Caenorhabditis elegans: one gene and its partners. The protein of the gene in region 2 purifies or fractionates together with the protein of the main gene of each other region. This does not show direct contact. Each region holds a gene or a part of one and is shown on either strand. Other genes may lie near its edges. The genes, in order: idhg-1, eif-2A, dnpp-1 and clec-137.

Region 1 (8,556 bases), on a different chromosome or scaffold from region 2:
CCCTGTCAAATATCCAATTTTTCTAATATTAATATTATTGTTATGACATAATAAACAATGCACTAAGTAATTAAAATTTCGAAAATTTTATTCACAAGAAACTGGGCAAGCAATCACACGAATTTGTTACAAGTATAATATGACACATTAACTAGACTAAATTCTTGAAACTCGAATACATATGAGGAGCTGGGTGAAAAGATTCAGAAGATATCCAAAACTTTCTGATTAATCGCCATCTTTTTGTGTTCAGTGTAAGCTGCACTGTTCTCGTGAACCTTCTCCAAATCGTATCTGAAAATTAAATTTTTAGACTCAAAAAAGGTTCGACCGAGTCATACCTGTAGTTTACCATAATTCCAAAACTGTTATTGATCCCTCTATGACTCGTATCTCCATTCCAATTCAGTCTATACAACTCTGCGCCGTTTCTAATGTGGAAGTTTGCTTAAAATAATTTTTTTTTCAATGCTTATCGATAAAATCATGCTTACCAACTGAATTTAAAGCCATTCCATTTCGTTTTGCATTACAAAGATAATGAGCACACGCGTACATCAAAATGTGCTGGATTGCATTGAGCTGCTCCTTTTTCGTTTTTTCATTGCTTATGACTTTCAGTAGAGTTTCGGTTGCTTCTACTTCGTTCATTTCCCTTTCAGATATATCAGAAATCCAATTGACAACCTTTTCATTCATAATTGAAGCTGAAAAAACATTGAAAGTAACTCAATTGTCTAAAAATGTACAGCTTACGATATTCTGAATTCCCTTTCAGATTTCTGATAAGCCAAGGTCGGAAACCAGGAATCGGAGATAATGTTGAATGAGTTGTGACTGATGGAACATCTTTTTGAAGTTTAGTGGCGACTTTCTTGATGAGCATATTTCCGAGATCAATACCAGAAAGACCTGAAAACGAATAAAACATGTAATGAATACATTTCTTAAATTTTACCAGGCTGTGTAGAAGTGATTGAATAATAAATTGCAGTTGTTTGATCTTCTTCTTTTCCAGTCGGTGCTCCTCTTTTTGTGATTTCTTGTACACTATCCGCTATCTCATCAACTAATGCCACGTGAACCATCACAAGTGGGTTCCGGGGAAGAGCTTCGTGGGAAAAATAGAAACATCTGAGAAAATGAAATTTTAGTTTTTTATTTTTATTTCATAATTACCGTCTCAACGGACCAAGACGTTTTCTGAAATCTGAAAGTCCTCTAACTGGATGAACTGCCTCATATTCGGCGACTTTCTGTAGAATATCTCCAGGAGATGACCACGTAAGTCGTTCCAATTTTAGATTTCCTAAAGAAAACCATGAAGTTAATACTTCTCTAGTGGCCAGTTCAATGTGACGGAGATATGATGTTGTAGTTTTGTCAGTTTCCCGTTTTAGAAGTGCCTGAAAATAATTATATATTCGATGCTAATTTTATTTTAATTTTAATACCAAAATATTAGCCCTCATTTCACAGACTTGCATAACTCCTCCCGGTAAATTTCCAATTGATTTTATCAAATTCACATAAGAAGCTGTTGCTGATGTTCTTACTTCCGGGTACATTTGATCATTCTGAACTTTACAATTTTTGGTCATACGATGTCAATGATAATAACCAACCTTAGAATATAGAGAAATCGCATGATTTAGGGCTTCTTTGTTTACACCATAGTTTGTGACGAGATCTACGAAAATCGATTTTCGAGTTTCTGGCGTGGAATTGGCATATAATTTGGAAAACTTCTCGCTATAAGTCTGAAAAATAAAATTTTTTCAAATAATTGGAAAATATAGTTCAACTTACGAGTAACTTATCTCCACTTGTTCGATTTGTGAGTCCGTCTAAAGTAGATAATAATGTGGAAGAATATCGAATCGAGTAAAAATGTGAATATCGACGAAGCATTATTTACATCAACCTACAAAATAATTATCTATGGGGGAAAATAACAGTTTCATAGCGCGAAACATTCTCGAAACAGTCCGGGAGCATGTAAATCAGCAAAACGAACAAATAAAAAGATAATCAAGTAACAGTTAACGTTTTAAATAGTAGTTAATAAAATAATAAAGACTTTGTAACTTCAGCCAAAACTATTTCTTGGATACCGATTTCTGTATAAGAAATAGACGCTATTTTTGGAAAAAGGCGTGCCAGGTTCTACATGAAACAACTATTTCAAAGAGTTTTCAATGAAACAAACTTTAAAGAACAATCCTAAGACATTTATTTCTACACAAAAATCACTAATAGATCACCTGATAAGCGCTTGAGACAACCAACAAAACAAAACAACGAAGCAACAACAATTCGGCGGCGAAAATCAATCAAGCGCCAACTGCTGTTCGAATTCCCGGATTTCCCCGGCAGTTGGCTTGAATTGCAATCTAGACTAGAAGTAAACACAAACCAATGAACCCTCAAATAGAGAGAAAAAGCAAAAATATTTGAAATAGATAGAAATGAACGAAAATGGACAAAATAAACATAAAAGACGAAAATGAAAATGTCGCGCGGCGGAATTGCGAGAAACACGTGCGGCGCTTGCAAATCAATCGGTCGGCTCGTTCCGCCCTCTTTTTTTGTGCATATAATTTCTGAAAATTATCTGTTTAGTGATAAATCTGAGTTTTCATAATGATAATGATGATATCGGGAAGATTTAATGTTTTTTGTTAAAGTTTTGAAATATACTATACCCTTCTATTTAAAAAATTGGCTACTATTCTGACATGCACTTTTAAAAGTACATTTTTAAACTGTTGTTTTTCTAGTAAATTCCATTTTTTTAACATTTCAGGTAAAAACAAGATGTCGAGCAACGTCCTCGGTCATACACTTCGCTCTTCGAAGAATGTCGTGCAAAAGGCGTTCGTCGCGACTTCACCGAACTCCGATATGCTCCGATTCCGTTCTCCAGTTCTTCAAACTAACACAGTAAGTAATTCATTTTTATCTGCTATTAATATCAATTTTCAGACTAAGCTGGCTCGTTATGGAGGACGTCACAACGTCACAGTCTTGCCAGGAGATGGAATTGGACCAGAAATGCTCCATCATGTCGAGAGAATCCTTTCAGCAGTTCAAGCTCCAGTAGATTTCGAAGTGGTTAATTTGACCTCAAAGGAAGATGCATCTGAAGATCTTGCTGAGGCTATCACTGCTATCAAGAGAAATGGTGTTGCTTTGAAGGTATTTTTGTTGAAAGATTAAAATCAAATTTAATTTTTTTTTTTTGAAGGGAAACATTGAAACTAAGTTTGATAACCCAAGCTTCGTTTCCCGAAACTTGGAACTTCGTCGTCAACTCAATCTTTACGCAAACGTTCTTCACTGTTCCACTATTCCAACTGTTCCAAGCAGACACACTGTAAGAATTTTTTTAAATCGATTTGTACAAATTTCAAATGAAAAGCTTTAGGGAATCGATATGGTTATCATCCGTGAGAATACTGAAGGCGAGTACTCTGGAAATGAGCACGAAGCCGTTAATGCTCCACATCCTCGTGTTGTCGAATCTTTGAAGGTTGGGATTATCAACTGAGATTTAGTCCTAATTTCAAATTTAAAGGTTGTTACTCGCGAAAAATCGGAACAAATTACTCGTTTTGCATTCCAATTCGCAAAGAAATATGGAAGAAAGAAGGTTACTGCTGTTCACAAGGCCAACATTCAAAAGTTGGGAGACGGTCTTTTCCTTAAAGTAGCCACTGATATCGCCAAGGCCGAGTATCCAGATATTGAATTCAATGCTATGATTGTCGATAATGCTTCCATGCAGTTGGTGGGTTGTTTATTTATTCATCAAAATAAATGTTCTGAAAAAAGACGAATAATTAAAAATCCTTATTTATTTCCAGGTTTCACGCCCACAACAATTCGATGTTATGTTAATGCCAAATCTCTATGGAAACATCATTTCAAACATTGCTTGTGGACTCGTCGGAGGTCCAGGACTTGTTTCTGGAATGAACATTGGAGAAGATTACGCCGTCTTTGAAACAGTTAGCATATTGATGAAAATATTAAATAACATTTGTTTTTTTCAGGGAACCCGTAACACCGGAACCACTCTTGCTGGAAAAGATCTTGCCAATCCAACTGCGTTCATCCGTGCCGCCGTTGATATGCTTCGTTTCCTCGGACTTCAATCACACGCCGATATGATCTCCGATTCATTGTTCCGTACGCTTGTTGATAAGAGAATTCACACCGCTGATATTGGAGGAACTTCTAAGGTAAGAATTTCATTAATTTTCTAAAGTTGTATATATTAAATTCTTACCTTTTCTTTATTTAAAAGTAGAGTAGAGTCGTTTTGGAATTTTGCTCAAGATGATATCCATAAATGGACCGTAATTTAAAAATTTATACAATTTTTCTAATATTTTGCAAAATTAAAAAATAAGATAAGTGTTTCTGAATTTCCGCGCGAATAAGTAGAATAGTTTTTTTGCGTTTTTCGGCTGTACTGAGTGATTACTCTTAATTTTGTTTTTTTAGTATTTGGTATAAAACACACATACATTTTCCGCAAAGAAATTTATGAATTATCGAGTTTTAGGCTAATTTTTGAAATGTTTTCGAATTTATTTCGGTTTATGAAGTTTTCTTTGCGGAAAAAATATTTGAAAAATTGCCGGAAAAGGCAAAAATGTCGGAACTCACATTTTTTATTCTTGCAAAATTGGAAAAATCATAGAAAAAATGTTATAAATTTTTTTACAGTTATTATGGTCCATTTTCGATGATTTTAAGCAAAACTTCAAAACGACTTCACTTTTTAGAACATTAACTTTATAAGTACTTTTTAAAAATGCACTACAAAACTTTAATTTAATAAATTTTCAGTCATCGGAACTCGTTCAATCAGTACTCGACTTCATCGAGAAGGAGCTCGAGGACCGCAACTACCGTGTCTAATTTCTACCTGATAATCGAAAGTTTGAAACATCCCACATAGTGGCTAGCTTTACCCTTACGTTCTTTTCCTCTGTTTTTTTTTCGATTAATCCATGATTCGTAGCATAATGCGTTACTCATTGTGCTCTTTCTCTGTTTGACCCCGTTGACTGAACGTTTCCGCCTGATGTCTCTTATCTTGTTCCTTTCTTCCTCATCTCTGTACCCACAATTTTCTTTGGATTTTAATTTTTTCTGATTGTTTGAATTTTTCTCATTTCCAGTATAGTACAATATTATAAAATTGGTTTAGTGAAATTCGATACTCTGTTAATAATGTTAATATTAGGTTACTGTCACAAAGTTAAGTACTCCCCCCACCAATATGCTCTTAACCTAATTAGTCAATACTTGAGAGCTGCTTGAAAAAAGGCGGAGTTTACTACTGTAGCTACTGTATCTTTTTGAATGCTCCCTAGCTCACTTTAATATTATTCATTTTTTGCCACAACTATTCTATTCTTTATTTCACCAGACTATCTAGGAAATATTGAACTAATACAAATTTTAGTTCAATATACCGGATGGTCTGGTGAAAGCAACATGCGTTGTAAGTTCTTTTTCAAAATCAAATGTCGATCGAACATTTCAATTCGAAATAATTTATTTCGGGTCAGAAAAATTGTACTAAAACTTGCAGAAAAAAAGTTGAAAAAAGAATTAATAAATTACAGAAAATATGCATATGAAACTGGGAGATTGAGTCTATCACAACTACATGCGTGGGTGGATACCAAAATATGAAAATTACAAGGAAAGCATATTCCATATTATACATATCATAAGTACATTGGCGGGAAAATACCAAAAGAAAATAAATAATTGAGAAAATAAGTGATTCTAAATTTGACACAACGACAACTTTGGGGGGAGGGTGAATTGCAAATCACTAAAAAGAACAAATTGTGTAATATATAAAAAGAAATATGAAAAATTCCAGTTTACAAGTCGGTTGGATCATCATGATCTTCCGGTTGGAAGGATGTATTCACAAATGATGCATTTTTGCCAGTCAGTGACGATTTTTTATCTTCTGAAACAGTAAATTTTAATTTTAAATAAAACATTAGTTTTTCTATACGGAAGGGTCGTCGTAAATTATTCTGTTTAAAAAAACCAAAAATTTCAGTTTCTTTTTGAAACAAACTTTAAAATTTTGGTCAGTTTTATTTTTTTAGCGATCGGAAATTTTTTAAAAGAAAAGATCGAAACTTTATTACTTTATTTACAAACAAATATATTGAATTTCATTAGAAAAATATGAAAATTTCTTTTAAAAATTTGATTTTTTGAAACCTAGCCTCATATTTTGGCTATTTTCATATTATCGGATATTCCAGTTTTTCCGAAATTGTTTGTTAACCTTTTTTAAAAGATTAACTCTAAAAAAGTTTTGAAAAATATAAATTATTTTCAGAAAAGTAGGGACTAGATGTATCAAAAAAGGTTGAATTTCATTACAAAAATATTAAATTTTCTTTAAAATCAAAGAACTCAAAAATCTTAAACTCTTTTTTCGTATTTCATAACTTTCTTTTTCAGAATTTTTTGTTAAAAACCGACAAAAAATCTGAAAACTGACTGGATGATTTTTTAACAACTGGAGGCATTGGAGAAGAGAACTGCAAATCATTTGCAACAATTGATGGATGTGATGATCGTAATCCAAATGTGCTCTTTTTCTTTTTCTTATTCGAAAAAGTTGTTGCTCCATCATTCGTCCATATTTCAGCTTCAGATCCATCGGTTTCAGGTTCAGAGGATCCTTTTTCTCGATATTCTTCTAATTTTAATTTATCCTTCTTCCCATCTTTTTTCTCTTTTTTCTTCTCCTTTTTCAACAATTTCTCCTTTTTACCCAAAGCCACTGGAATCGTTGCAGTCGTCTCTTGTGTTGGAGAAGCTTCTGTTGGTTTCTTTGGAAGAGGTGGTGGTGGTGGATCCGTAGGTGCGCCAACAGAAATTAAAGTTCCAATAATTGGCTCACAAGGGACTGTATCAGAGTCTCGAACAGCTTCAGGAAACGATGTATTTGACATTGATGGAATTATTGAAACAGGAGCAGCTGTGGGTAGATCCGGCTGAAAAGGGCTATTATAAAATCTCAAAAATAACTTTAAAAATGAGTTTTTATAAGCTTTTCTACATTACATTTTTTGGCGAAAGTTAGTTTTTTTTCATCGAAAAATATTAAAATTCTACAGCAACGAAAGTTTGAAACTACAGTACTATTTAAAGGCTGACGCCTTTTTTCATTTGACTCAAGTCTGGCGCTTCGAGACCGAGTACCGTAAAATTTCGCGTTATTTTTGTTACATTTTTTTTTTGATTCAAAATAAGAAGAATTTTAAAATATTTTTACAATTTTTCTGTACGAACCTTAAATCGACAAACCAACGGAGTTGCTTGTCTTGGTAATGTGGCTGGTGCAAAGACGTTTTGATGTTCAGACGCAGGTCTTTCAAATACCGTATCTCTCCGATCCGTCCACCGATCTCCAAGATCCCAGTCATCATCCAAGTTATTTTTTGCTGTGGGCAACGGAGCAGTGATGATCATTTTCGGAGTAAGCTCATCTCGGAGAAATGGATTCGTGATAGGATTCTGTGTATGCGGAGTTGATGTTCCAATGAATAGTGGTGGGTAATTAGTAGATGAAGATGAGAATGATGAGATCAGTTCGTGCTGTAATTTTTAAAGATTACAATTTTTGAATGTAATCGAAAAAGCATACATCATCGTCATCCTCCAATCCATCATCTTCTAATAAAGGACGACTTCCACCTTCTCCATCTTCACTTCCAACTGTATTTTGAGAGTCCTCGTCGTGAGAAGTGTCACCGCCTCGCTGAAAAAATCATTGAAAAACTTTTTTTGAAGAAATTAAAGTTATTGTTTTATTTTTAAAAATGTTTTAAATTGTTTAAAAATTTGTTTTTGGTGACAGGCATTTACCAATGAATTAAAAAATATTTGGTACAATTTTTTTTAATTCGGAACTTTTCTTCGATAAGAAATGTTCCAAATAAATAAATATCGTTTTTTTTTCAGATTTTTTGGCAAAAAAGGGTTCTTGCTTGCTTGGTTTTCTGGACCAAAAAATTCGACAATTGAAGTTTAGAAGTGAAAATACGATTATTTATTTGTTTATTTGGGTTTTTGAATAAATTAAATTTTGATACCAGTATATTAAGTTTTTTGGAATATTCTAGAACTTTACTAAACTGTTTCCTTTTCTTTTTTCTTTAGAATCGCGATCATTAAAACAGTTTACAGCGAAATCTCAACTAGTCTAAACTAAAAAAAAACAAACCCGACTATCATCATCCTCTTCTTCCTCAGAATCATCTCGATCAGTTTTTCCTCGACTATCACTACTGGCATCATCTCCAACTCCATCAATATTCTCATATGAATATCTGCGTCTATCATTCATTCGTTGTTCATCAATTTCACTATCTTCCTCGTTTATCTGAAAATATTTATTTTTAAACCAAAGTCCAAGTCTTTAAGTGCTTCCTGCTTACAGTTTCATCTTTTTTCGTCTGAATCTCTTCTTTCTCATCAATTTCATATTTTTCTTCTTCA
Region 2 (8,358 bases):
GATTATACTTTGAAAAGTTAATCAATAAATTGAATTTTCCAGGTCAAAACGTTTCCTCTGTGTGACGACTATTTCAGAAGTGAATCATTAGACGGAACACCTTTCGCCGCCACAGAAGCATACGAAATATACGATTTCCATGTTATCACTGCAATTCAGATGATGTTTCCGTTTGTGGTACTATTGCTACTGAATCTAACAATTATCAAGAGATTGGTAGCTGAGAAAAGGGAAAATGTACGTTATTGTTTTAACTGTCTTATTAAAATGGAAATATACTGAACCATTTTTTTTCAGATGTACCCTATTCTCCGAGGTGCTGGAACTACAACAGAAGTGAAAAAAGCGTCATTTGTTCAGGGAAATCTTCCAGAAAACTATGTGCTTCTGCAAGTTGCCGCTGACGTCATCAAGGAATCATTGATCCACAGGTGGGGTTGTCATAAACGTTCTATTAAAGAATTGTCCCAAAATACTCTTTAAAAATTGAATCCCCATCAATAAAGTACAGTTCTGCGGCGGTATCGTCTGAAATCGTGGAAAACCAGAATGTGGATGATATCACTGATTCAGTAGACGTTGAACTTCCACGTCATCGGCCATCAATTTTTAACACTTTCGTACTGGCACTCAGGGAGTGAGTCACGGAATGCGTAATAAATTCCGGAATATATCGTAGCAAATCCACTTCTAACTTCTTCTATTCACTACTGTGTAATTTTATCATATTATACGTTCATCGCTTGCAGATGGTCAGAAAACGCGCCCCATGGTTCCAAATGGATAAAGAATTCGAAAATTTAATAATAAGTATTATGGGGACGTAAAAAAATTGGGCCTCGTTAGGTATTTTGGGGAAAACCGTAAATTCGAACGTTTTCCAATAGTGTATCCGGTTTGGCTTTTTAATAATATGTGTTCCGTTATTTTTAATGATTAAAAAAATGTAATGATTTTTTAAAGATGCATGAAAACTTTCATTAAGTTGTGAATTTTATTTTTTTTTTAAATTTCAACATACCTAAACTATTAAAAACAACGGAAAACATACCAAAAAATACGAAAAAATGATTGAAAACGTTTGAATTAACGATTTTCCGGCCAAATACCTAACGAGACCCATAGCTTGGGGGCGGGGCGTTCTCCATTGACCGTGGAGCGCGCTAATATGTCGATCAGTTTTTTTCTGCGGTCCTATAATAATATTTATGTGAAACCAAGAGCTGGCGCTTTGAACTTCTACATATTCGATGTTAAAACATGTCAACTTCTTCTAGAAGCACATTTGAGCTCACTGGAGCTCATTTCTTTTCCAAAATTAATTATTTTTGTTCCAGATCATCCCGAAGTAAGCGATCACAGCTTCGAAATGCAATTTACACGATGTTGGCTATTGTCACTTCATATTTGGTTTGTAATGGCGTTCATCTTTTTCTGACGATCCTTGAGAGGTTCGATCCATCTTATCTTTACGAATCCACGGATCGAATGCAGTCGAGCACATTTTATATCGGTTAGTTTTTAAAAACTTCTATTATAATAATAAAATACTTTTCCATTTCAGTTTTGTCTGATACTGTCTCCATCTGCTATATGGCATCCTCGGCAATTCGTATTTTCATCTACGCCAAGTGTAATCCAAAGTTGCGACAGGAGATCACCGACTACATCAAACGAGAGAAGAGCATCGAGACGAACAGCTCGTAACTTCCTTCATTTCATCACTTTTTTGTTACTCTTATTACGGGAGTTCATATTATGACAATAATAATTAAAGAAATAAACAATCATAATAAGAGATTGGGGAGAGAAAAAGATAGGCTAAAAGAATATGGAAGACAATTGATAAATAGATATTCAAAACAACTGGGGAAAAATTTCAGGTTTCACTCGAATGTATAAAGTCTAAAACTCATAGGAAACAGGTGAGTCAATCGGGAGAAAAGAGAAACAAAAAAATGATAATCGAGGGAAAAACACAGAAAAAAAGAACACAATTTTAAATGGTCAGTTTGGAGAGCTCTGAGAGATATTCGTTTTCACGTTGGATCTTCTCCATTTGGTTTGGTTGAAGTTGATCGCCATTCGCCACTCGTTGCTGGAAATTATTTGTTTGAAAATATTTTTGAAACTTCGCACAACTCACCTTGAGAACTTTAATCTCCTCAACCTTCTTTTTGAGTTGGAATGCTTTCCTTTCTTGTTCCGATTGCTGTGGTCGGAATGGTTGTGGAGCATTTCCGTTTCCATTAGCACGTGGCTGTGCAGGCCGTTGATTCTGGTTTCCTGGCGTAGGTGCTGCAGCTGATGGTGGTCCAGCTGATCCTCCACCTCCTAGCGGTTTCCTGAGATGAGGTGGAATGTAGGCACCAGCCTGACGAACTGCTCCTGCTGGAACATTATTCAGTGGATGAGATGCATCCTTCTTTCGAATTGGCAAGCCAGCGGCCATTTTGTCCGTCTTGGTTAGCTCTTTGATGGCAAACTTGTTGTATCCAGTCATTGGACGCCAGCGAACTTCCCACAGCTCTTTTGGAGACTCGAAGTGAGTTTCAGCAAGCATTCGACCCGTGTAATGCCAGAAGCGGTAACTGTTATCTATACGAAGCCTTGGAGCAGTGGTGCATGTAACAAAATGTTGACCATCTGGAGCCCAATCGAAAAGAGTTGTATTTGGCACCTCGATCGAAATAATCTCCTTTTTCGTCTCCACATCCCAAAACTCCATTTTTCCCTTCGCGATATTTCCAAATCCACAAATCAGAACAATATTTCCAAATGCATTATAGAAAACATCGTTTCGTGGACCTTCAATCGTGTCGAAAATTGGAACTCCTCTCGGATTATAGAATGTCACTTTGGCTGGCATATAACCATAGCAAACAGCGAATTCTCGGCCGTTGGGATTCCACTTTGCAGCGTAAATTGGACCTTTCTTCTCCAAAGGAACAACTACAGACTCTCCTGATTGAATGTTGATAAGGTATAGCTGAAATTAATTAAATAATTATTGGGGAGATTTGAGAAAATTTTAAAACGAACACTTTGCTCTCCATAATAAGATTGATTTGTCTTATCCACTTCAACAGAAGCAAGAATGAGAAGTGATTGACCACGCTGATTCCATGTCATTACGGCTTTGTCAGATTTGAAGAACGTACGATTGCCGACGACTGGGAACGATTCGGAGACTCGATGAACTCGCACGCGAGCTGGAGTGGATCCAACGGCAGGGACATAGACAGCCACGTGATTCGGAGCAGGACCTGGACTCAATGCGAAGTTGGTCGCACCCTTCTCGACAAGCTTGTGGTCGTAACGGTCTGAAAAGATAAGTTTTATGATAACGGTCGTAATAATAATATCAATTTTCAGAAAATTCATGAAATTCATACCGAAAGACATGTTTGTATAAAAGAAGACTTCACTGCCAACCATTCTTGCAGCCAACGACTCATCATCCGAAAACTGAGGCTCCCACGATGCTTCTTTTGGAGCTGAGAACGTTGATACGTGCTTTCCATCCGCAAGACTGTAGACTCGCACATTTGGTTCTGGCTTTTGGTTCTCTGCAGTCTAAAGTTGAAAAAAAGGTTTTCAAACTGAATTAAATAAAAAATTATTCAAACCTTTGGTCCGTAAACTGCCCATGGCTCGAATGTGAGCAGGAAATTGTCTTTTGGTGAGAACAAGATCTTCCGAGTTCTTTTCAGCTCCACACAAAGAATCTCCTTGTTTGTTGCGATCTCGAATACCCGTGTTCTAAAAAAAAAACATTATTTAACTATATATTCCTCTCCTGAAACTTCTTCTTACACTTGATTATCGCAATAGGCGAACAGCTGTCCGTTGTTGCTGTAAGCGAACACATTGCAAGCGACGTCTCTCGAGGTTCTAAAAAATACATTTAATTATTGATTCCTGATAATTGTTCTGAATTACGTACTTATTCTGCTCAAAAACTGTCACCGCGTCTTTGCCCAGCCCGCGCTTCAGGTAGAAGCCTTCACTTGATCGAACTGAAACAAATTTCGCAATTTTACGGCCTATTCAAAGCTGTCTAAAGTAAACTCACCGGCGTACACCAGGTTATCACCCATTTTATTGATCTGAATCAATGTTTGAGAAAGTCTGAAAAAAGAAAATGTCTTAAATTTCTCAGGAAGTAGGAGAAAATTAGAAAAGCTCGAGGAAATGACGAAAAAATTCGAATCACGAGATGGCGTCGTATTTGGCGCCGGCATACATTTGGAAATGCAGAATTTCGCGCACCGTATCCAGAATAAATTATTCTAGCGGGAAAAGATTAAATAAAATTGAATATTGGGAGAAACAGTTAAAAAAAAAAGAAATATTCCTCGAAAAATAAAAAATAATTCGATTTTTTAATTCGATGCAGTTTTAGTGCATCGTTTGCGTCACGGTGTTTGCACACAAAGTACAGTAGGCAGAAATAGTTTACAAACTTGCAAAGACTTTGTTTAATCGATTAATTGCATAATATTAAATTGCAGAGTTAAATTTAAATTTAAACTAAAGCTACACAATATATAAATATTTCCGGAATTTCGTCGTATTTCGATCGACAAAAATCTGAGTATTTATGGAAGCCACTGTCTTTTCTCCAAATATTTCGAATTTCATTGCTACGCTGAATGAAAATAAGAAATTGAATAGAGACAACGCGTAGGCGGAATTGAAATTGGTCTCTTGAAAATTTATTTCGAGAAGTTATTTTCAAGGATGAAAAAAACAATATTACCCAGGCACTGAATTTGGCTTTTTTCGCCAAAAAAAACACGGTACCCGGTCTCGAAGCGACAATTTTTTTAATGCAAAAGGGTGTGCGTCTTTAAAGAGTACTGTAATTTCAAAAACAAATTTTGCTGTGGAATTTTCATCGATTTTTTAACATTTATGTGTTTTTGAATTATAAAAAAGTTTTTTTGTAAATAATTAAATGTATTTACAACGAAAAACTATAAAAAATCGAGGAGAATTCTAGAGTAACGAAAGTTTGTAATTATAGTACTCTTTTGAGGTCATAATCGGAAAGTAGACCCCTTTTAATTCAAAAAAACTCGAATATAACATTATCGAGCGTTAGAAAATACGGTCCCCGGTCTTGCCACGCGCTCTCTTGGTAAAATACAAACGGATCTGCGCCTTTAAAGAGTACTGTAATTTAAAATTTTTGTTGCTGCGGATTTTTCATCGATTTTTCATAGTTTCTCGTTAAAAAATTTTCATAGAAATTTATAAAAAACTAATTTCAAACAAATTAATTGTTACAAATCGCAAGAAAAACTACGGAAAATTAATTAAAATTTGGATTTTCGTGGTATTTCGAGACACGATAGATTGTTATATTTGCAACGAAATAGTAGATGTGCCATATTGAGAAGCATCCGATTTACGGTAATTCTGCTTTTTCTGAAAATATATGTGCTTCTTTGTAAGCGTTCCCTCGCCAACGGCAGAATTGAATTCTTACTGCTCACCTACTCATTTTCAGTTTACTCTTTACCAAGTCTTTCTAAAAGTATAAGACCATGATCCTTTTCTAATCTTATACTAAGTCAGTACCGGCTTACCTACTTCTTCCGAAACTTCCGTATTTTTCAAGTCTCAAAACCTCGAAAAACTGTTCAAAAAATTCGTTACTTGCTCATCCCAGGTGTTTAATCTATGATAACAACACGTGGATTATCGTAAGAGTACAGTCTCTCATCTGAGTGTCTCATCATCACGAGGATGTCTTAAAAGTTGATCATTTCCTATTCAGATACATCAGGAAGCGTCCAAGTACATGAAATGAACGAATTATAGTTGGCGGCCAATCCGGAAATATTAGGTTTATATTAATAGATTTTGTGATTGGTACGTTGTGATTTTTGGTTGCATTAATATATGTAATTTAAACCCTCTCGAAAAACCAAATAGCCACATTTTTCTGGGCAAAAATTCCCGCATTTTTTGTAGGTCAAACCGAAATGGGGCAGCCTGACACTATGTGGAAACATTGTTTTGCAAGAATTTTTTGCAAGAATTTCAGATATTCAGACGATTTTCATTTCAATGCAAAGTCCTCTTTGACGCTAGTCATCCTTCATGATCCTTGGAATAATGTTTTTATTCTCTGAAAACTTTTACATGTTTTGAAGCTTTTATGCTCTTATCCTTTCACAAGACCAGACTTTCTGAAGTCTGTTGTCAGATTATATAAGATCAGACTTTGGGGCAAAGTGGGTGTAATAGACCATTGGAACATATTTCTTGCGCTATTTTTGGAAAAGTGAATTACTCAAATATACGTTCAGATCTGATTCATTAATTTAAAACAGCGGAACAAATTTCTAGGGACGAGCAAACAGGATGATCCGAAAGACGATAGATATGACGAGTTATTTTTTCATATATCAATCAGCAATTTTCAAAATTACTATCAGTCCGGTTTATCCGGTTTCAATGTCTAAATATATAATGAATTTTTAATGAGTGATTCCGTGCACATACCGGTTCACTACCTGTCCCATATTAATAATACGGCAATTCTAGAAACTTTAGACGGAATTTGAAGAAAATCAACTTTTCTATCACCCAAATGCCAAATTTCAGTCTTCATTTTTTGGCAGTTTCACAATTTTTATTTACGCCAACTCAAATGTTCTGATCTATTCAATGAAACATTTTGAACTTTGTGCTCAAGTTTAGTTATCATCATTTTGAATAAAAGCGGATATTGCAGAAAAACTGTTACCGGATGTTGTGCACCTCTGCCAATGAGAATCACAAAAAACAATGGCTATTGTTATAGTTGGCATTTGCGTAGGTTTGCAGGAAATTTTAGTTTTTTCACATGAGTCAGCCACAGTTTGGTAGAAGTCTGATCAACATCTCGGAACTTCCGAGAACACTTTGTTTGCTAGATTTCAATGGCAAAAGCAATTGTTACCAAAAAATAATTACAAAAAAACTATTTTTCCCTCATAAATATTTCAAACCGTCAAAAACTAGATTGGAAAATGCCAAAATAAAATCTAAATTGGCAAAAAAATGTCTAAATTGTTTTAAATTTTTAGAGAATTTCAGACAAGATTTGGGAAAATTAGCAAATTTTCGAAAATTTGAACTTTTTAAGAGACTTAACGAATTGTTTAGTGTTTAGAGCTTTACAATGTTTGAATATTAATAATTGAAACAGTTTGTTTTTGTGATCCAAAATGAAAATTCATGGCCCCGCTTTTTTGAGTCGGTTTTTGAGTTTCGTTTTCGTATTTTGAGAAAATATTTTCAAGATATAAAAAGAGAAGGGTAAGTAGTGCAGTATTCAATTCCATTACCAAAAACAACTACAAGCACAACACAAATATATTATGTTGTCCAGAAATCGTTGCTCTTAAATTTTGAAGTCGAGTTTGTTTTTTAAGAAGTTGTATTAATAAAACCAAACTGGTTGTCAAAAGATGCCTCAATACTACCTTGTACGCACGAATATTGTTAAATGTTTGTTAGGGAACTATTTGTTCTTCTAGTGTTGAACGATGTTACAAATATTTAAATAATTTTAAATCAAATATTTTAAAAAAATTCAGAGATTTGAACTTATTTGTTGCTACTCCTTTTTTAGCTAGAAGTTTGTTAGTTTTCAATTAATCTAGCGCCCCTTTTTTTTGTCTCAGAAGTGGAAAAGTTTCAAAGCAACTCCTCCTTTTCTATCGTTCTGCGTAGATTTAGGTTTTTCAAACCCTTCTCGTAGAAACTGTTTTCAAATTGGGTAAGAAACTTTATAAAACCTAGGCAAGGTTGCATTTGTCTCTCCAAAACTATTTAGAAAATTTCCCAATTGTTAACAATTAATAATTTTGGGCCAAGATTATTCAAGACCAATATAGATCATTCCAAACTAATTTGTTGACTGACAAGTCTTCCTAGACACAACACGGGACCCCGGTCTCCTCAGAATTTGCAACGAGTACTTGTTTCAATAGTGTGACAACTCTTAATTTTCATCTCATCTTGTTCATAGTAGACAACAATTTGTTCTTATTTCACCAAGCCAATTCCGAAGAATTCGCCTTCTTCTTCTTCTCCAGAATGATCAATTGGTGTGACCGGGGGATGAGATGACGTGACGGAGGATGAAGAGGTGGTAGTAGTAGGGAAAATTTCAAAAATGTTAACGAATGCTCGTATTATGTCCCCGAATCGGAAATTCGAGCAATTTCCGGTTAAGATCCCGTAAGAATATTTGTTGAAAAGAAAGTAAAATGTTATTTGTTTCATTTGATTGATGAAGAAGAAAACAAAATAAAAATGGAAACTGAATGCAACTATTATATAGTTGAAAATTAAGGG
Region 3 (7,931 bases), on a different chromosome or scaffold from region 2:
CAGCATATATGTCATAAAATTGACGAGACTGGTGAAAAACCGTACGCATACTTGAAAACCGATAAGCTGATTGGTTTCATCACTTTAAGTCATTTCCTAAAACTATAAATTCAATTTCACGCAGATTCTTCTCCGAATCTTCCGCTTGTTTTCTGCCCCAACGCAAGTTTTACTTTTTTTAAATACAATTATTATAATGATGGCATTTTTGTATGTTTAGGTGATGCCTGTTTTATAAATTAAGAGTTTTTTCTAAAAATGTTTTTAAACAACTTTAAACTAATCCACTTAGAAAGTCTGTCAAATTGAATTTTATTGATTGTTTTGGAAACAAACAAACCTCACAATTACAAAAACGCTTTCATTGTAAATATTGACGAATTTATCTCGAATATATTTATTTTTCTCTTAAAATAACTATTTTTACAGCATAAAAAGTGCCCGAAAAATGGCAACTGAAGCTGTCTACGGAAGTTGGGATAGTCCGATCACACCAGATCTCTTCGGAAAATGTAATTGCAAGTCTATCTGCGAGATGCAAGTTGTCGGTGGCAATGTCTACTGGATTGAACAGAATTCAGTAACTGGAAAACGAGAGCTTTACTCAAAACCAACGAATGGAGATACTCGTACACGCTGGGCTGATGGTCAATCTGTTCAAACTGCAATTCACGAGTACGGAGGAGGTGCTCTACATGTTCTTGCTGATGGATCAGTGCTGTTTGCTACGATCGAAGGAGTTTTCTATCAAAAGTCGGCGGATTCCGGAGTTGAGCAATTGGCAGAAGGAAATAATCGAATGTTTAGGTCAGGGATAATTTAAATGGTGTATAACTTTCAAAAATAAATAAAAAACATTTTCAGATTCTCCGACTTCTCAGCCACTGACACCCATGTATTTTGTGTTAATGAAACCCACCAAGCTGATGCAAAATTTCCCGAAAATCGACTAATCTCCATCGACCGAGCAACCAAGAATCAAAACGTCATAGCTCACGGAGCCGACTTTTACGCCTATCCAAGAGTCTCCCCGGATGGAAAAAAGCTTGTCTGGATGCAATGGAGCCTTCCAAATATGCCATGGGACGAGACATCCATCCGAATGGCTGATCTCAAAGGTGGAGAATCCAGCAATGAGGTGACGCTGAAGGACGGAACTGGAAAACAAATCAACTATTCCGAACCAACTTGGGATGGTGATGAGCTTTTAACTGTGAATGATAGCACAAACTGGTGGAATGTGTATAAATCAGCTGCAGAGCCAAATTCCGTCGAGAAGAACCTGAATCCAATTCAACGAGAGATCAGCTACCCGCTTTGGCAGCTTGGTTTCAGAAATTATGTTCTGAATAAAAAATATTTGGTGAGAATTTTAGATTGGAAATTCAAAACATTCTTCAAATATTTTAAACCTAAGTTTACAATTTTCAATATAATTAGTTGAACTAAACACAAAAATTCGAATTTTTAAATTGACCTAATGAAATTTAAATATTTCAGGTAATGAACGCAGACGGAATTTTGTATGTCCGATCGGGAGATGTTACTGTAGAGATTCCAACTCCAGGCTATACTGTATTTGGATATCTTTCACTCGACCAGAATGGTTCTGATCTTTTCGCAATTGCTTCTGGACCAAAACGAGCTTCAAGCGTTATTTCCATCGATCTCGCGAACAAAAATTTCCCATTAAAAGTTCATCGCGAATCCCGAGATTCTTCGGAAATCGACGCTCTCGAGATTTCGGAACCAGAAGAATTTGTGTTCAAATCGGATGGAGTTGATGTTTCTGGTTATTTTTATCCACCGAAAAACTGTTCATATTCTGCTCCAGCTGGAACACTTCCTCCAGTTTTACTTCTCGGACATGGTGGCCCGACGGCTCCAGCTCAGAATAATTTGGATCTTAAAAAACAGTTCTTCACGTCGAGAGGTATTGCTGTTTTTGATGTAAATTATCGAGGATCAACTGGATTTGGAACTGAATTCCGGAGAATGCTTTATAAAAATTGTGGAGTAGCTGATAGAGATGATATGTTGAATGGAGCAAAAGCACTTGTTGAGCAAGGAAAAGTGGATGCCGAAAAAGTTCTGATCACTGGAAGTTCATCTGGAGGGTAGGAATTTAATATTATAGTCATTGTTAAAGTTTTATAAATATTTTTATTCAGGTATCTGATTCTGAGCTGTCTTATCTCACCGAAAAATATCATAAAAGCAGCAGTTTCTGTGTATGGAGTTGCTGATCTATTGGCTTTAGATGAAGATACTCATAAACTGGAAAGATGTTACAATGAGATGCTTATCGGAAAATATCCTGAGCAAGCGAGCATTTACGAAGAAAGAAGTCCCATTTATCATATTGATAAAATTAGAACTCCTATTGCATTCTTGCATGGAAGGGAGGATACGGTAGTACCGATGAGCCAATCTATCACAATGTATGAGAAGATCCGTGCTAGTGGAGTTACAACTGCTCTGATGCTTTTCGATGGAGAAGGACATGGATTTAGGAATGGACAAGTGATCAAGGAAAGCACCGAAGCCACTTTCTACTTTTTGATGAAGGCCGTTGGAATTGAACCATCAATTAGTTCGAAGATCGAAATTGTTAATCCGAAGCATTAGATTTGTTTTTGTTTAAATTGTTATCTATAAAATTTCAGCTTTTAAAAAATGCATTGCTTTATTTATTTGAAAACCAAATAAATTATAGAAATTAATATTCACAGAGAAACTGAAGATTGGATATCACGACGCGATTAAATAGTAGAAATTATGATTGGGAAGGATCAACATTGATTTGCCTATTGCATGTTGGAGAGGACAGTTGACAGACGTTCGTAGAATGTAGAGTAGAGAGTGGTGGCCTGGTAGATGCTCGAAGTGTCGGCAAACTCGCTGAAATCAAGAAAATAAATGATGTGATTTAAAAGTTAAATCCCTACCGAATCGAGTGCATAGCCAACTGTGGGCATCCTACATCGACAGTCTGCAAGCCAAGTTTTGTGGCAAGAATCGGTCCAACCGTCGATCCACAAGGAGAATCATTGCGAACGACGACAACTTGAAGAGGAACTTGAGCTTCGAATGCAACTTGCTTGAGAGCAGCGTGTGTGGTTGAAGTTGTTGCATATCGTTGATTGACGTTTACTTTGACGACGACTCCACCATGGAATGCTGGACGATGGTTCTCTTCGTGTTTTGCCGAATAGTTTGGATGCGTGGCATGAGCTTGATCTGCAGAGATGAGCATGCTCTTTCCGATTGCTTCTTCGAAAGCGGTTGTTGAGCCTCCAGCAGAAAGACGGCGGAGAACGAACTCCGTGAAAGAAGAAGATGCTCCCATCGCGGAATCCGATCCTACTTCCTCGTTATCGAAGCATGCGGCAATACGAATTTGTGGGTCATTCTTGAATGACTCTCCAGTTAGAGACTCGAGAAGTCCACTTATCGCAGTGTATGTTCCAACTTGGTTATCAAGACGAGCTCCAGAAATGAATTCATCCTCCATTCCAACAATCGCAGCCTTGTTTGTATCGTAAAGGTAGAGATCCAAATCAACGATGTCTTCTGGCTGACATCCAGCTTCCTTCGCGATTAATCCGAGGAATTGGGGATGATGATTGTTGGTAATGTTTCGTGGATCGGCAAAACCAGTAGACTCGGGTTTCTGTGGTGCATTGATTCCAGCAGCAGCGAAGGTTTCCAGAATCGGGCGGAGCTCAGTTTCCGTGTTTGGTTTGAATGTTGTTCTGAGAAATAAATTGCAAAATTAGGACGATAGTGACAAATTTCAAATACCTGTCGGTCTCCAAATGAATCGCCAAATTTGGAATGAAAAGAACTGGCTTTTTCACGTCGATCAGCTTGTGTTGAAGTTTCTCTCCATTCTTGACAATAACCAATCCAGCCACCGACAAGTCACGGTCAAACCAGGTTCTCCAGATTCCACCTCCGTAAGTTGATACACCAACTTGAAGGAATTTATCAGACTTTTGGTGGGAAATTGGTTTGACACGGAGGCATGGACTGTCAGTGTGTCCCACAACAATCGAGAATCCACTCCCTGGCTTGTAAGATCCTCCAACAGCGAATGCAAGAATTGCAGAGCGGTTCTTGGTGACAAAGTATTTGCTGGTTGGCTGAATGTCCCAGTGACCCGATTCTGGAAGCTCTGTGAAACCGGCTTGTAGAAGGCGATCCTTCACTTCTTGGGTGGCTGCAATTGATATACTTTTGAATATAAAAATAAATAATAAATATTACCATGAAATGGAGTAACTGCTTTATTCAGATAGTTGATGAACTCTTGTGCAGCTTTGCGGATCTCCGGAGCACTTGGTTTCAGAGCAGCGGCCATCTAAATTAAATAAACTTATTTATGAAAAGACAAAGAAAGAATAGTGAAAACCTTTTTGGGTTGATAGCTGGTATTGGGCTCAATTTCATGTTTTGGATAGCAGCCGCACACTACTTTCAATTTTTCGGAAATACGATTTTTTCGAAACGACTTCTTTGTCATGATTCAAACTCAAAATGAATTGAGCCCAATATTTTACTACCATCGGAGTGAAAATGAAAAAAGATAAGACAAAATGTTGCATAAAATTTGAATCTGGAATGATTTTCTATAAGCGATAAACGGTTAGTTTCTACTGGGCGAAAGTTCGAGAGAAGAATATGTGGTGCTGATTATCAAAAATGCGTTATCAGTGATAGTTATCAAGGTTTCTAATAGAAAGAATCAAAAATGAAGGAAAAGATAATGGAGAAGACATGAGAAAAGCGAAAAGATCAGGAATTATTTGAGGAAAGTTAGTGAAAAAAAAATTGACAGGAAAAAAACGTCGGAAAATTTTAGAAATCGAAAAGAAGAAAAGAACAATTTTTAACGTAGAGTAGTACTGTATTCAAGGCGCAACGCTTAAATCATTTTTTGGGTCCTGGAAAGAAAACTACAATAGCTGGAAATGTTCTGAACTTTGAATATAATTATAAATTTTATATATAAAATTTTGTTCATCTTGATTTTTCAGAGCGATATATTGTTTATAAATAGAATGATTTTTACTACAAATTTTTAAATTTTTATGAATAAAAAATAAATTAAACATATAATAACATTTTCATAACTCAACAGAATGAAATATGTTTATTTCACTCCAGAAAACATTTACTTTTCTCTTGGAAGTCGTTTAATGAAATTAATACTAAAACTGCTCGATTATTATGTTTAATGCTCTTTAAATGTGTCACCAAATGGCCTAGGTTTTCAACCTAGTCCTTGCCAACATTGTGATGAGACCTTTTTTATTTAATTAATCAAATGACTCATATATTTTTCGAATAAATCAAGAATTTTCTAGAAAAATGACAGAACCGTCGGCTAGCGAAGAAGTGTCTGCCGGAGTGAATGCAGAGGTAAGAGTGTTGCATTTTAATCGATAATTCAAAGACCCTTAAATTTCAGGAGCCGCCAATACCGTCCAAAAAGATTTCGCAAGTCTCACCGAATCCAACGCTTCAATGCGAAATGTGCCAGAATTATGAAGTGAATTTGACTGCATTACAGGTGAGAATCATGGGAACACGGCAAATATGCAAATGATTTTTGTTTGTTTTGCAGGAAAACGAACGAAAGTTAAAGGAAGAAGTGAAGGCGGCAATGGAGTTGAACGAAAGATATCAATTGGATTTGAGCAATGAACGAGACTATCGAAAAGAATTGGAAAAGAAAATGAACGAATTATCGACTAATTGTTTGAATCAGGTTAACGAGGCGGCAAAGGCAAATGCCAAGTCGGAGCAGCGGCTGGACGAGCTCAGTGCGAAGGTATTTTAAATAAATAAAAAGAATAACTTTTAAAAAAGCTTAATTTCAGCACGACAAATCGATAGAAGTATTCACTGATCAATTGAATTTGGCTCGTGACAAACTGCAACAAGCCGACGATGACTTTGTTACATTAGGAAAAAAGTACAAAAAGCTTCTCGGGTCCACACGAAAATCAGCACAAGAACTTCGGTCCGAGAAAATCGATATGCCAGCTGATCTTGATCAATTACAATTTATTTGTCTCAAGAATAGGGAAGAATTGATAGAAACTCGAGCTGCAAAAGAGCACACCGAGCAGCAGCTGCAGGATGAGATCACCGTCCTGCGAGCTCAGATTCTAGAAGAAAGAGCGCACAGAGAAGATCAGGAAGTGACATTTACTGCAGAGATCAGCAGATTGCAGTCGGAATTAGGAAAGATCAACACTCGAATGGTTGTTGCATCGGAAACAATTGCAGATCAAGATTCGAATATCAGACAAATTAGAGATCTTCAAACAACTGTCGGTGAACTTGAGACGCAGGTTCAGCAGGTTCAAAATGAGAGAGCCGCTGTTGAACAGACGGCACAGAACTACAAGCAACGGTGCACAAGTCTTCAACAAGAACTCGACACATCTGAAGTTGTGCAGAGAGATTTTGTGAAATTATCTCAAAGCCTCCAAATTCAATTGGAGAAGATTCGACAGTCGGAACAAGAAGTACGATGGCAATGGGATGATGATGTAGATCAATGCTCAAATTGTGATACATCGTTTGCTAGAGTTAAAGTTAAACCTCAGTAAGTTTTTGAAAATGGAAGTTTGAATTTCTGATAAAAAATTACAAGAAAATTATTTTCTTCATTTTCAAAAATAAATTTTACACTTTTCCAATTAAAATATGTCAAACAGAAGATTTTAAAAAGAAAAAAAATATATAGTGATTATGAATCAAGCGTTCGGTACCCTTTCTTAAAACGACCTAAAATATTTTTAAAAAAAGGCTTCGAAAAATAAAAAATCACGCATAGTTTTCCAGAAATAGCAGATTTTTATAAGGAAAAATTTTTAAAAAAGTGCGAAAAATAAGAGATAGCACTATTTTACTTTTTCATGGAATATTTCAGTCACTTTTATTTTTCAAATCTTTTAGCTGTCTTCATTGTGGTCGGATATTCTGCATGAACTGCCTGAAAGACACCGTTCCAAGTGGACCAAATCATCGACCAGCCAATGTGTGCAAAGTATGTCACACACTGCTCAATCGGGATACAAAACCATTCTTTGCAACGCAGGATAAGTAATAATTCATCTGGAATGCTTATTCTGTCGCTGATTATCCACAACTCGCCCTTCCAATTTCACTTTCGCCACCTTTTCCCGATTTTATATGTGCATCATCCGTGTGCTAGAATGTCTAGTCTTTTAATTCTTGTACAATGCTTAATCTATTCTATATACGTACATATATACCAGAAATTGATCTAAAATTGTGCATTAAAATTTGTTTTATTGACTTTTATGAAATTAGAATTATTTAATTAGAATCAATGGAAAAGTTTTCGATCACAGTTTCGTCGTTGCTTGATGTCAAGATGCTGATGGATTCCAAATTTCCTGGCTTGTCAATATGCCACGTGGAATCTCCGGTTTTGTCCATAATTTCAGATCTATTCAGAAGCAGGTCAATTGAATTGGAAGTAGTGCAAGTTATGGTCAGGGTACTGTAGTTGACAGAATCGAAAGTGAATAGTCTGGAAAAAATTATAATGAGTAAATTTTTGTATGTTCATAACTTACAGAAATTTTCGATTTCTGCCAAAAAGAGTGAGTCCTGTAGAGTCAATTACTTGGTGGCAGAAGGAGCTTAAAATTTGAGGCTGAAGCTGCACTGTGCTCAGGCGGTAGTGCCAATTTTGATCCATTCCAGTACAGAAGTTGGTGCCAAAGTTTATAGAAGTTAGAGGACGAGTTCGGATGTGTGGAAGAAGTTTGGACCAGAAGCTGGAATTAAATTAAAATTTCAATAAAACTTAAATTGTGGAATTTTTCTGAAAAAAATCCTAATGTAGAATTTTCTAGTTGGAAATAAATTAAATTTCAAAAATTATG
Region 4 (6,905 bases), 5.8 Mb from region 2:
AGCCGACGCAGAGGAATAAGTTCACGAAGAACTGGTGTATGAAGGTGGATTAAAGGAAATAATTTTTCAAAAGTTTAGTGGTTTATCGCGATCCCAAATTTCTGCCCGCTACTGAATTTAGAAATGAGACAAACTTAATTTTCAAATTAATTTTAATTTTTCAGGTAATAGAAAACGAGGATGTCTATGATCGACCTATCGCAAGATCAGTTTGCCTAGATTATGACGCAGTTATTACGAATGTCGAGAACCAAGAGGAGCTGGATGATATCAATGGTAAGTAGCTGCTCAATAAATAAGAGTATTGTTAATTAGAAAAATTATATGTAAAGTCCAACGGAACAATTTCCAGTTGACTAATATTTGCCTACAAGGTGACAGGCGCCTGCCTTTTGCATGCCCACTTACCTACTTTTCAATTGGCAGTTTAAATCTAATAGAAGGGTTTCGGTTGTGACGAAAATTTTTTTGTAGACATGCTGTTTTTCTACGTGGAATTTTTTCTAAATTTTACTGAAACTAAATACTTCAAATGACAAAAAAAGAAGACAGTAAGTAGGCCTGTAGGCAGACAAGTAGAATAGGGCCTACCCGCCCTTCTCGTCTCTTATTAAAAATACGATCGGCGTGATGCCATTTTACAAATTCTCGCAAGCTGAACAAACACCTGGAGGCAGCGATTAGCATTCGTACTATTTTGGAAAGCGAATTTTCTGGTTTTTTGAAAAATTTGGAAAATGTGAAAAAATAGAGCCGGCGGCTAAAACTTTTCTGAAAGTTATGTATTTACTAACATGCTTAAAGCCAATCACTGTTATCATTTATCAAACAAATTATGTAAATGCAACGTCATTGTTATTGAATGTAAATGCTAAAAGGCACAACAAAGCCGACAGAAACTGACAAACAACTTTTAGGCAAGTTAAAACTGAACACAAATTTCAGCTTTAATTCGAAAAAACAATAAACGAGTCGCAGTGGACGGAGTGTTCAATCCAAAATGCCGAGGTTTCAGCGACTGGCGAATGAGAAAGTTTGGAGGACTTTGCGCAAAAGAAAAAGAGGTTTTTGTTTCGAAAAGTGTGTTTCAAGTATCCCGATCGTTTTAGCTATTTATTCTGGAGGACGATCACACCGATCCAGCGTTCATTCTCACAAAGTGGTCTGGAGAACCGCCAACTTCATCAGACAAGTATCAGGAGAAGGGGGACTCTACGTAAGGAACCCAGTGGGATAAAAGCTTCATGTTCTAGTTTTCAGAGAAATTTTCACAATCGCTGAATGTCTATCTCTACATAATCTCCAGGCAATCAAGAATACTGGAAATTTGAAGGATTTTTTGTGAGTTTTTTTTTTGCAGGATTTTCAAACCCAAAACTAAAAAAATTTCAGGTGCGGCGAAGAACCAGACAAACAAGTCGGCGAGGTGCCATTCTTCGGAGTTCTGTGTGGATGTGCTCCAGTATAAAATTATTTAACTAGTGCCAAATGTATAAACAATTTTTGAATTTTTTGAAGATTTTTCAGAGAAATCTGTCCTCGAGGCACAATATAAATTGTTCTTACAATGTATGCCTAGTTTGAAAATGTATATCATGACTCGATTTTTTTTGTGTTATAAAAAATTTTCCCTCTAGAAAAAGTTGAAAAATAGGTAGAAAAATAAAATGCGTCATTTCCGCCCAGCCCCCGAGATACCGTATCATTTTGATGTATTCGGGGAATAATGGTTCCGCAGAAACGGAATCATTGAAGGGATGTACAGCTTTTTTATAGCTTTTGACTAGTACAAAAGCATACTGAAAGCTTCTTCTTGAACTCTTCATAACATGTTAGTTTTATTCTTACTATTCTTGGTTGTTCCGGCGGTTTCTGCAAAGGATCCAAGATGCCCAAAAAACTTTACTTTTGTCAAAAGAACACTAACTTTTAAGAATAATTTTACAAAGGGGTGGTGCTTGGGGGTACGTTATTGATAGAGACAGTACCCAGTTTTAAAATACACTTTCAAGATTTTCAATGGAACGGATGTGGGAAATCGTGACCGAGCCCGCTCAGTCTGTCTCTATCATAACGCTTCGCTGAGCAATCCAGAAAATTCACATGAACTTGAGATTGTTTCTGGTAAGTTGATCATGTTTTTTTTTAAAGACATGTCTTCAATTCAAAATCGCTAGGAAAAATATGCTTCTAAATGTGTAATTAATTTTTAGACGTTATTCGCGCACGGAACATTTCCCTCCCGATTGCACTCGACGGACAACTCTCTCCAAGATGCAAGGCCCTTATTTTCAGAGGCGAACAGAGCCAACAATATTTTGACCAAAGAACAGAGGAAGGAGATTGCAATATTAACAATCATTTGTTTGTATATGATGATATCAATACAGATACTTTATTTATCCGTTCCAAACTAGGTACTTCGGCTGGAACTAATGGAGGATACTCCAGTCAGGAGGACGGAGTAAAGTAAGTGTATGAAAATTTCTAGATTCAACGTCAAACAAGTCTAGAATTCAATTTACAGATTTCGTTTCACCAGAGATTGTAACGCATTAACAGATGCATACTATTACTTTTCTAATGGAACACATTTCTATGCGGTAGATGGACGAACTGAATTGCTCGGATGCTTTGGGGAAAAGGATAAGCAAAATAAACACGAATATAGTAGTGTTCTTTGTGGAAGATTCCCTCTCTGAGTTAATTGATCAGAAAAGACAGTTGTTAATAAATATTTTGGAGTTGTTGTTCGAATTCATCACTTGTGATTATATCAGAAAATACCAATTTTGCAACAAACATCAGTCGAGGATATGCATAATTTTCATAATAAGTATTTTTTGATAGCTAAAGATTGGAGCTAATCATATTTCAAAATTTACAGAGACAGGACTATTTTAAAAGTAAACTACCCTGTAACAAATCAAGAGTTTCGAAGCTTGAAATCAAAAAAAAACTTATTCTTGTAAATCATTTTATATTCTACCTCGGAAGCCGACAAAAGCTTGGTTTTAAAAAATCTAGCTTCAAAGTCTTGTTTTCAACCACAAATGTTTGTGTACATAAATTTTTGGATAGGTATCATAACAAGCAAGAGGGCCTTATGTTAGTCATAGGCTTGCACTCAGTTGCTCAATTTTGACGGCTAATAACTAGGTTGTGTTTTGTTTTACCAAAAATTATAAGCTGACAAAGAATGTGTTACAAATTTCTCTACAGTTTTGGTGTTAAATGTTTTTGATAAAAGGGCTGAAAATGAGGGTACTTTTGTTAGAATCTTTATTAGATCAGATATTTTTTTGTTTCAAAGCGCATGGTTTCAATATTCTTGACAACTTCTATCAACCTACGTGTTATATAAGAATTTCTTTGAATGAAATCATCCAACCTGATGAAGAAATATAATGCGTCGTTTCCGCTATCCAGCCCCGAGATACAGTATCATTTTGATGTATTCGGGGAATAATGGCTCCGCAGAATCGGAAACGCTACAGGGGGCGAACAACTGTTTTATAGCTTTTGACTAGTACAAAAGCATGCTGAAAGCCTTCTATGAAGTTCAGTATAAAATGTTAGTTCTATTCCTACTATTTTTGGCAGTCCCAGAATTTTCTGCGAAGGATCCAAGATGCCCGGGAAACTTTACGTATTTCAAGAGAACACCGACGGCAAAAAATAACTTTACAAAGGGATGGTGCTTGGGGGTAAGTTGTTCATATCAATGACACCTAAATAGTTTTAAAATGATATTTCAAGATTTTCAATGAAACGGATCTGGGAAATCGCGACCGAGCCCGTTCAGTATGTATCTATTACAATGCGTCGTTGAGTATTCCAGAAAATTCACACGAACTCGAAGTGATTTCTAGTAAGTTTTTGAGGATTTTTTTATTGCTGCATGCGGAAAAATGTAAAATTTCCAGAGACTGCTAGCTTGAGAAACATTTCCGTACCAATCGCTCTTGATGGACAACTCTCTCCAAGATGCAAATTCGCAATTTACAAAGGACAAGTAAAGGGTGCAAAACGATTTAATCAAACTTCTGAAGAAGGAATTTGCAATATTAAATATGAATTGTTCATATATGATGATATTAATACGGATACTTCATTCATTCGCACAAAGCTAGGTGTTTCGGCAGGATCAAACGTAAGAAGTGTACAAGCTGATGATGATATCGAGTAAGTTTTGAAAATCGACTTTCCTATTTGCATCCAACATTTCATTTTCAGGTATCGCAGTACAGCAGATTGTACCGTTTTGGAAAAAGGATCGTATCACTATTCTAATGGAACACTAAAAGATGGGCACACTAATTTGATGGATTGTATGGGACAGCTAGCTGGCTCCAAGAGGCTACCAGAAAAAAATGTCACCGCCGTTCTTTGTGGCCGATTGCCGTTCTAAGTAAATGTATTCTATCATTTCTGGAAAGATTAATTTTCAATATTTAATAAATATTATATTTCCGAAATCTTTCTGATATTTCTTATTACCTTAGCTGATTGAAAAGATAAGGTACACCCAATTTGTTTCCGCAAGTGAACTTCAGGTTATTCTTAGGCGACGAAAATCCCTGTGCGGGTTTACAATTAAATCATTTTCGCAACGAAACATTTCCTTTTACAGAGTTTTGACAAGTGTGTATACCATTTTTGTAAACTAAAAGTCAATTAATTCATCTTAACTTTCGTCTCGAACTTTTCGTTTTTAAGTTCCATCTTGTTGATAATACGGCCTAAAAATTGTAAAAAATTTCTCAAAGCTTCCTATTTTCTGTGTCAAGAAAAATCGGAGAGCTCTACATTATCTCTTTTTTGGCTTCCGGAAAACTTTTAGAGTAAATTTATAATGTATAATTTATGATAAACCTCAAGAAAATAGGTACAACAAGCATCTGCTACGTCCAAATCAAAATGTTTAGAAGAATAAATACTACGGTAGAGCATTTTGTGGGTGTTGTTGAACATCACGCTTTTGTTGAAACGATCAAATGCTGTCGGAAAATAATGGCTCCGCATGGCTTAGTCACAATTTTATCGATTTCAATAGGTACAAAACCCCGCCGAAACTTTTCAAAACTGACAGAAAAATGTTCGTTTTCTTTTTGCTATTTTTGACTGCGGTTTTCGCAAAGGATCCACAATGCCCAGAAGGGTTTTCTCATGTCAAGAGAGTCCCAACTGCAAGGAACAATCATACAAAGGACTGGTGTTTGGGCGTAAGTTCCAAGTTTTGGGTTTTGTGTTCATAATGCTTTATGACCATATTTCAGGTTTTCCAATTCAAGAACATGGGAAACCGAGACCGAGCTCGATCATTTTGCAGTTATGTGAACGCTTCATTGACCATTCCAGAAAATGAGCACGAGATTCAAGTGTTTTCTGGTAGGGATATTTTTCAATAAAAACATTTTCAGTGTTGTAATCTTCAAAAACTTTCAGAAATCGCCCGAGCTCATGGAATTGAAGCTCCTTATGCTGTTGACGGTCAAATTTCTCCAAAATGCAACGGTCGTATTAATAAAGTCGAAATCATACTTCGTCATCGATTCAACAGTACAGAAGAAAAAGGAGATTGTAATATCAAGAATAATCTATTTTTGTTCGATGATGTCAATAGTGACACTACATTCATGCTGAGCCATTACAAACGTCGACTTCCAGCTGCTTATATGGTTCATCAAGCTGACAATGGTCCAATGTAAATTAGACATAATTATCAAATAGCGTGAAATCATAAAAAATCAAATATTACAGATTCCGATTCGCCGCTGATTGCATTGTTCTAAAATCTGGAATTGTCAAGGCTAATGGCACAGAAACAAGAAAGAATTGGGGAAGTTTGGAGTTTTGTGTGGGAAAAAATGCAGTGCAGGCTTATACAGACGATGAAAAACCATATGGAAACGACGTGGAAGCAGTTTTGTGTGGAAGACATCCACTTTAATTGTTTTGAGAAACTTATAAGAAATGTGGGTCCTAGAAATGTGATGCACCTTGTCTTTAGTTTTGATTGAAAATTGTCAGCTGAAAAAATAAATTTCAATTTTTTCTATAGTTTTGTAACTTAGTATTAAAAAAATAACATTGAAATTCCCTACAAAACAGTGAAAACTGTAAAAAACAAAAGCGAATAAAAAAAATCTCGAGTCTCGTTTCCCCCATTATACATAAGTACATCAATCCCTATCCTTTCCAACATAGAAAAAAAACACGACACGGTCTATATGATGCGAATATTCGGTAATACGCGATTTAGAGATGATGGAGGAAATAGATGGGACTGGATTTTTTGTCAATTTTTTTTTACAGTGATGATGATTAACTTTTTATGGTTGGGAGGTTTTTCACTGTATTATACATATATATGAATGGTTAAGCAGGAAATGGGGGTTAAAGTAAGTGTGAAAGGAGAAGCCTAGTGACATCAGCAACAGAAGATGCCTGCCGGTGTGCCTTCAAGGCAATCTAGGCCTACCTCGTGCCAACAAACTCCTGAAGTAGGCCAGACAGGTTCGAGGTATGTATGTAGGTAAGCACACATGCCTGGAGCTTAATGAAAACTTTATGGCAAGAAAATGATCTAAACACATGCCAAAATACACTAAACCCCAAAAAAACGGGAACTTTCGAGAGGCCCAGCTGAGAGTTTAACACATTTTGTTGAAAGTAATGTGGGTTTTATAGGAAATCTCTAGCGATCAAACACTCCGAAAACTTTTGAGTTTCATGCATCTTTTTGTGACGTACTGGAAGATTTGAAAAAATTGGAAAAATCAACTGGCAATAAGACGTTTAGAAAAGATGATTGGCAAAAAATGAAACTGAACATTCAAGTGACCAAAATTTGCCAAAAAAAGGAAAAGGAAACATTAATTTATAATTGAAAGATACTTAAT

The links.
Region 1: the proteins of eif-2A (region 2) and idhg-1 fractionate together in Caenorhabditis elegans (co-fractionation; one large-scale study listed by BioGRID). This does not show direct contact.
Region 3: the proteins of eif-2A (region 2) and dnpp-1 fractionate together in Caenorhabditis elegans (co-fractionation; one large-scale study listed by BioGRID). This does not show direct contact.
Region 4: the proteins of eif-2A (region 2) and clec-137 fractionate together in Caenorhabditis elegans (co-fractionation; one large-scale study listed by BioGRID). This does not show direct contact.

The regions. Positions count from the first base shown.
Region 1 is NC_003281.10:4,566,207-4,574,762, forward strand, and holds idhg-1 (Isocitrate dehydrogenase [NAD] subunit, mitochondrial), read left to right. Parts: upstream 1-2,806; 5' UTR 2,807-2,817; coding exon 2,818-2,943; intron 2,944-2,985; coding exon 2,986-3,198; intron 3,199-3,247; coding exon 3,248-3,376; intron 3,377-3,427; coding exon 3,428-3,532; intron 3,533-3,577; coding exon 3,578-3,790; intron 3,791-3,866; coding exon 3,867-4,010; intron 4,011-4,055; coding exon 4,056-4,244; intron 4,245-4,857; coding exon 4,858-4,929; 3' UTR 4,930-5,659; downstream 5,660-8,556. Other genes in the region: mlcd-1 (Malonyl-CoA decarboxylase, mitochondrial), read right to left, coding at 204-294, 342-447, 495-707, 757-912, 959-1,134, 1,180-1,406, 1,455-1,577, 1,626-1,760 and 1 more; Serine/threonine-protein kinase sel-5, read right to left, coding at 5,910-6,001, 6,551-7,049, 7,348-7,653, 7,703-7,816, 8,282-8,440, 8,496-8,556.
Region 2 is NC_003280.10:10,412,579-10,420,936, reverse strand, and holds eif-2A (Eukaryotic translation initiation factor 2A), read right to left. Parts: upstream 4,132-8,358; 5' UTR 4,101-4,131; coding exon 4,076-4,100; intron 4,020-4,075; coding exon 3,947-4,019; intron 3,895-3,946; coding exon 3,817-3,894; intron 3,763-3,816; coding exon 3,630-3,762; intron 3,577-3,629; coding exon 3,396-3,576; intron 3,324-3,395; coding exon 3,043-3,323; intron 2,990-3,042; coding exon 2,147-2,989; intron 2,099-2,146; coding exon 2,000-2,098; 3' UTR 1,708-1,999; downstream 1-1,707. Other genes in the region: frpr-21 (G-protein coupled receptors family 1 profile domain-containing protein), read left to right, coding at 43-237, 298-431, 512-637, 1,338-1,513, 1,565-1,707. UniProt on the Caenorhabditis elegans protein: Functions in the early steps of protein synthesis of a small number of specific mRNAs. Acts by directing the binding of methionyl-tRNAi to 40S ribosomal subunits.
Region 3 is NC_003281.10:5,859,184-5,867,114, forward strand, and holds dnpp-1 (Aspartyl aminopeptidase), read right to left. Parts: upstream 4,621-7,931; 5' UTR 4,526-4,620; coding exon 4,415-4,525; intron 4,364-4,414; coding exon 4,270-4,363; intron 4,223-4,269; coding exon 3,805-4,222; intron 3,756-3,804; coding exon 2,949-3,755; intron 2,902-2,948; coding exon 2,808-2,901; 3' UTR 2,659-2,807; downstream 1-2,658. Other genes in the region: dpf-4 (Peptidase S9 prolyl oligopeptidase catalytic domain-containing protein), read left to right, coding at 449-807, 865-1,363, 1,501-2,117, 2,172-2,628; rabn-5 (FYVE-type domain-containing protein), read left to right, coding at 5,374-5,424, 5,474-5,575, 5,630-5,836, 5,886-6,619, 6,973-7,123; eng-1 (mannosyl-glycoprotein endo-beta-N-acetylglucosaminidase), read right to left, coding at 7,357-7,573, 7,620-7,823. UniProt on the Caenorhabditis elegans protein: Aminopeptidase with specificity towards an acidic amino acid at the N-terminus. Plays a role in membrane trafficking and is specifically involved in the recycling and degradation of endocytic cargo.
Region 4 is NC_003280.10:4,614,725-4,621,629, reverse strand, and holds clec-137 (C-type LECtin), read left to right. Parts: upstream 1-3,539; coding exon 3,540-3,707; intron 3,708-3,759; coding exon 3,760-3,871; intron 3,872-3,926; coding exon 3,927-4,185; intron 4,186-4,236; coding exon 4,237-4,411; 3' UTR 4,412-4,478; downstream 4,479-6,905. Other genes in the region: clec-139 (C-type lectin domain-containing protein), read left to right, coding at 1-44, 165-276, 946-1,064, 1,110-1,216, 1,261-1,341, 1,393-1,468; clec-138 (C-type LECtin), read left to right, coding at 1,830-1,964, 2,013-2,124, 2,214-2,469, 2,528-2,702; clec-136 (C-type lectin domain-containing protein), read left to right, coding at 5,097-5,225, 5,280-5,391, 5,449-5,707, 5,764-5,953.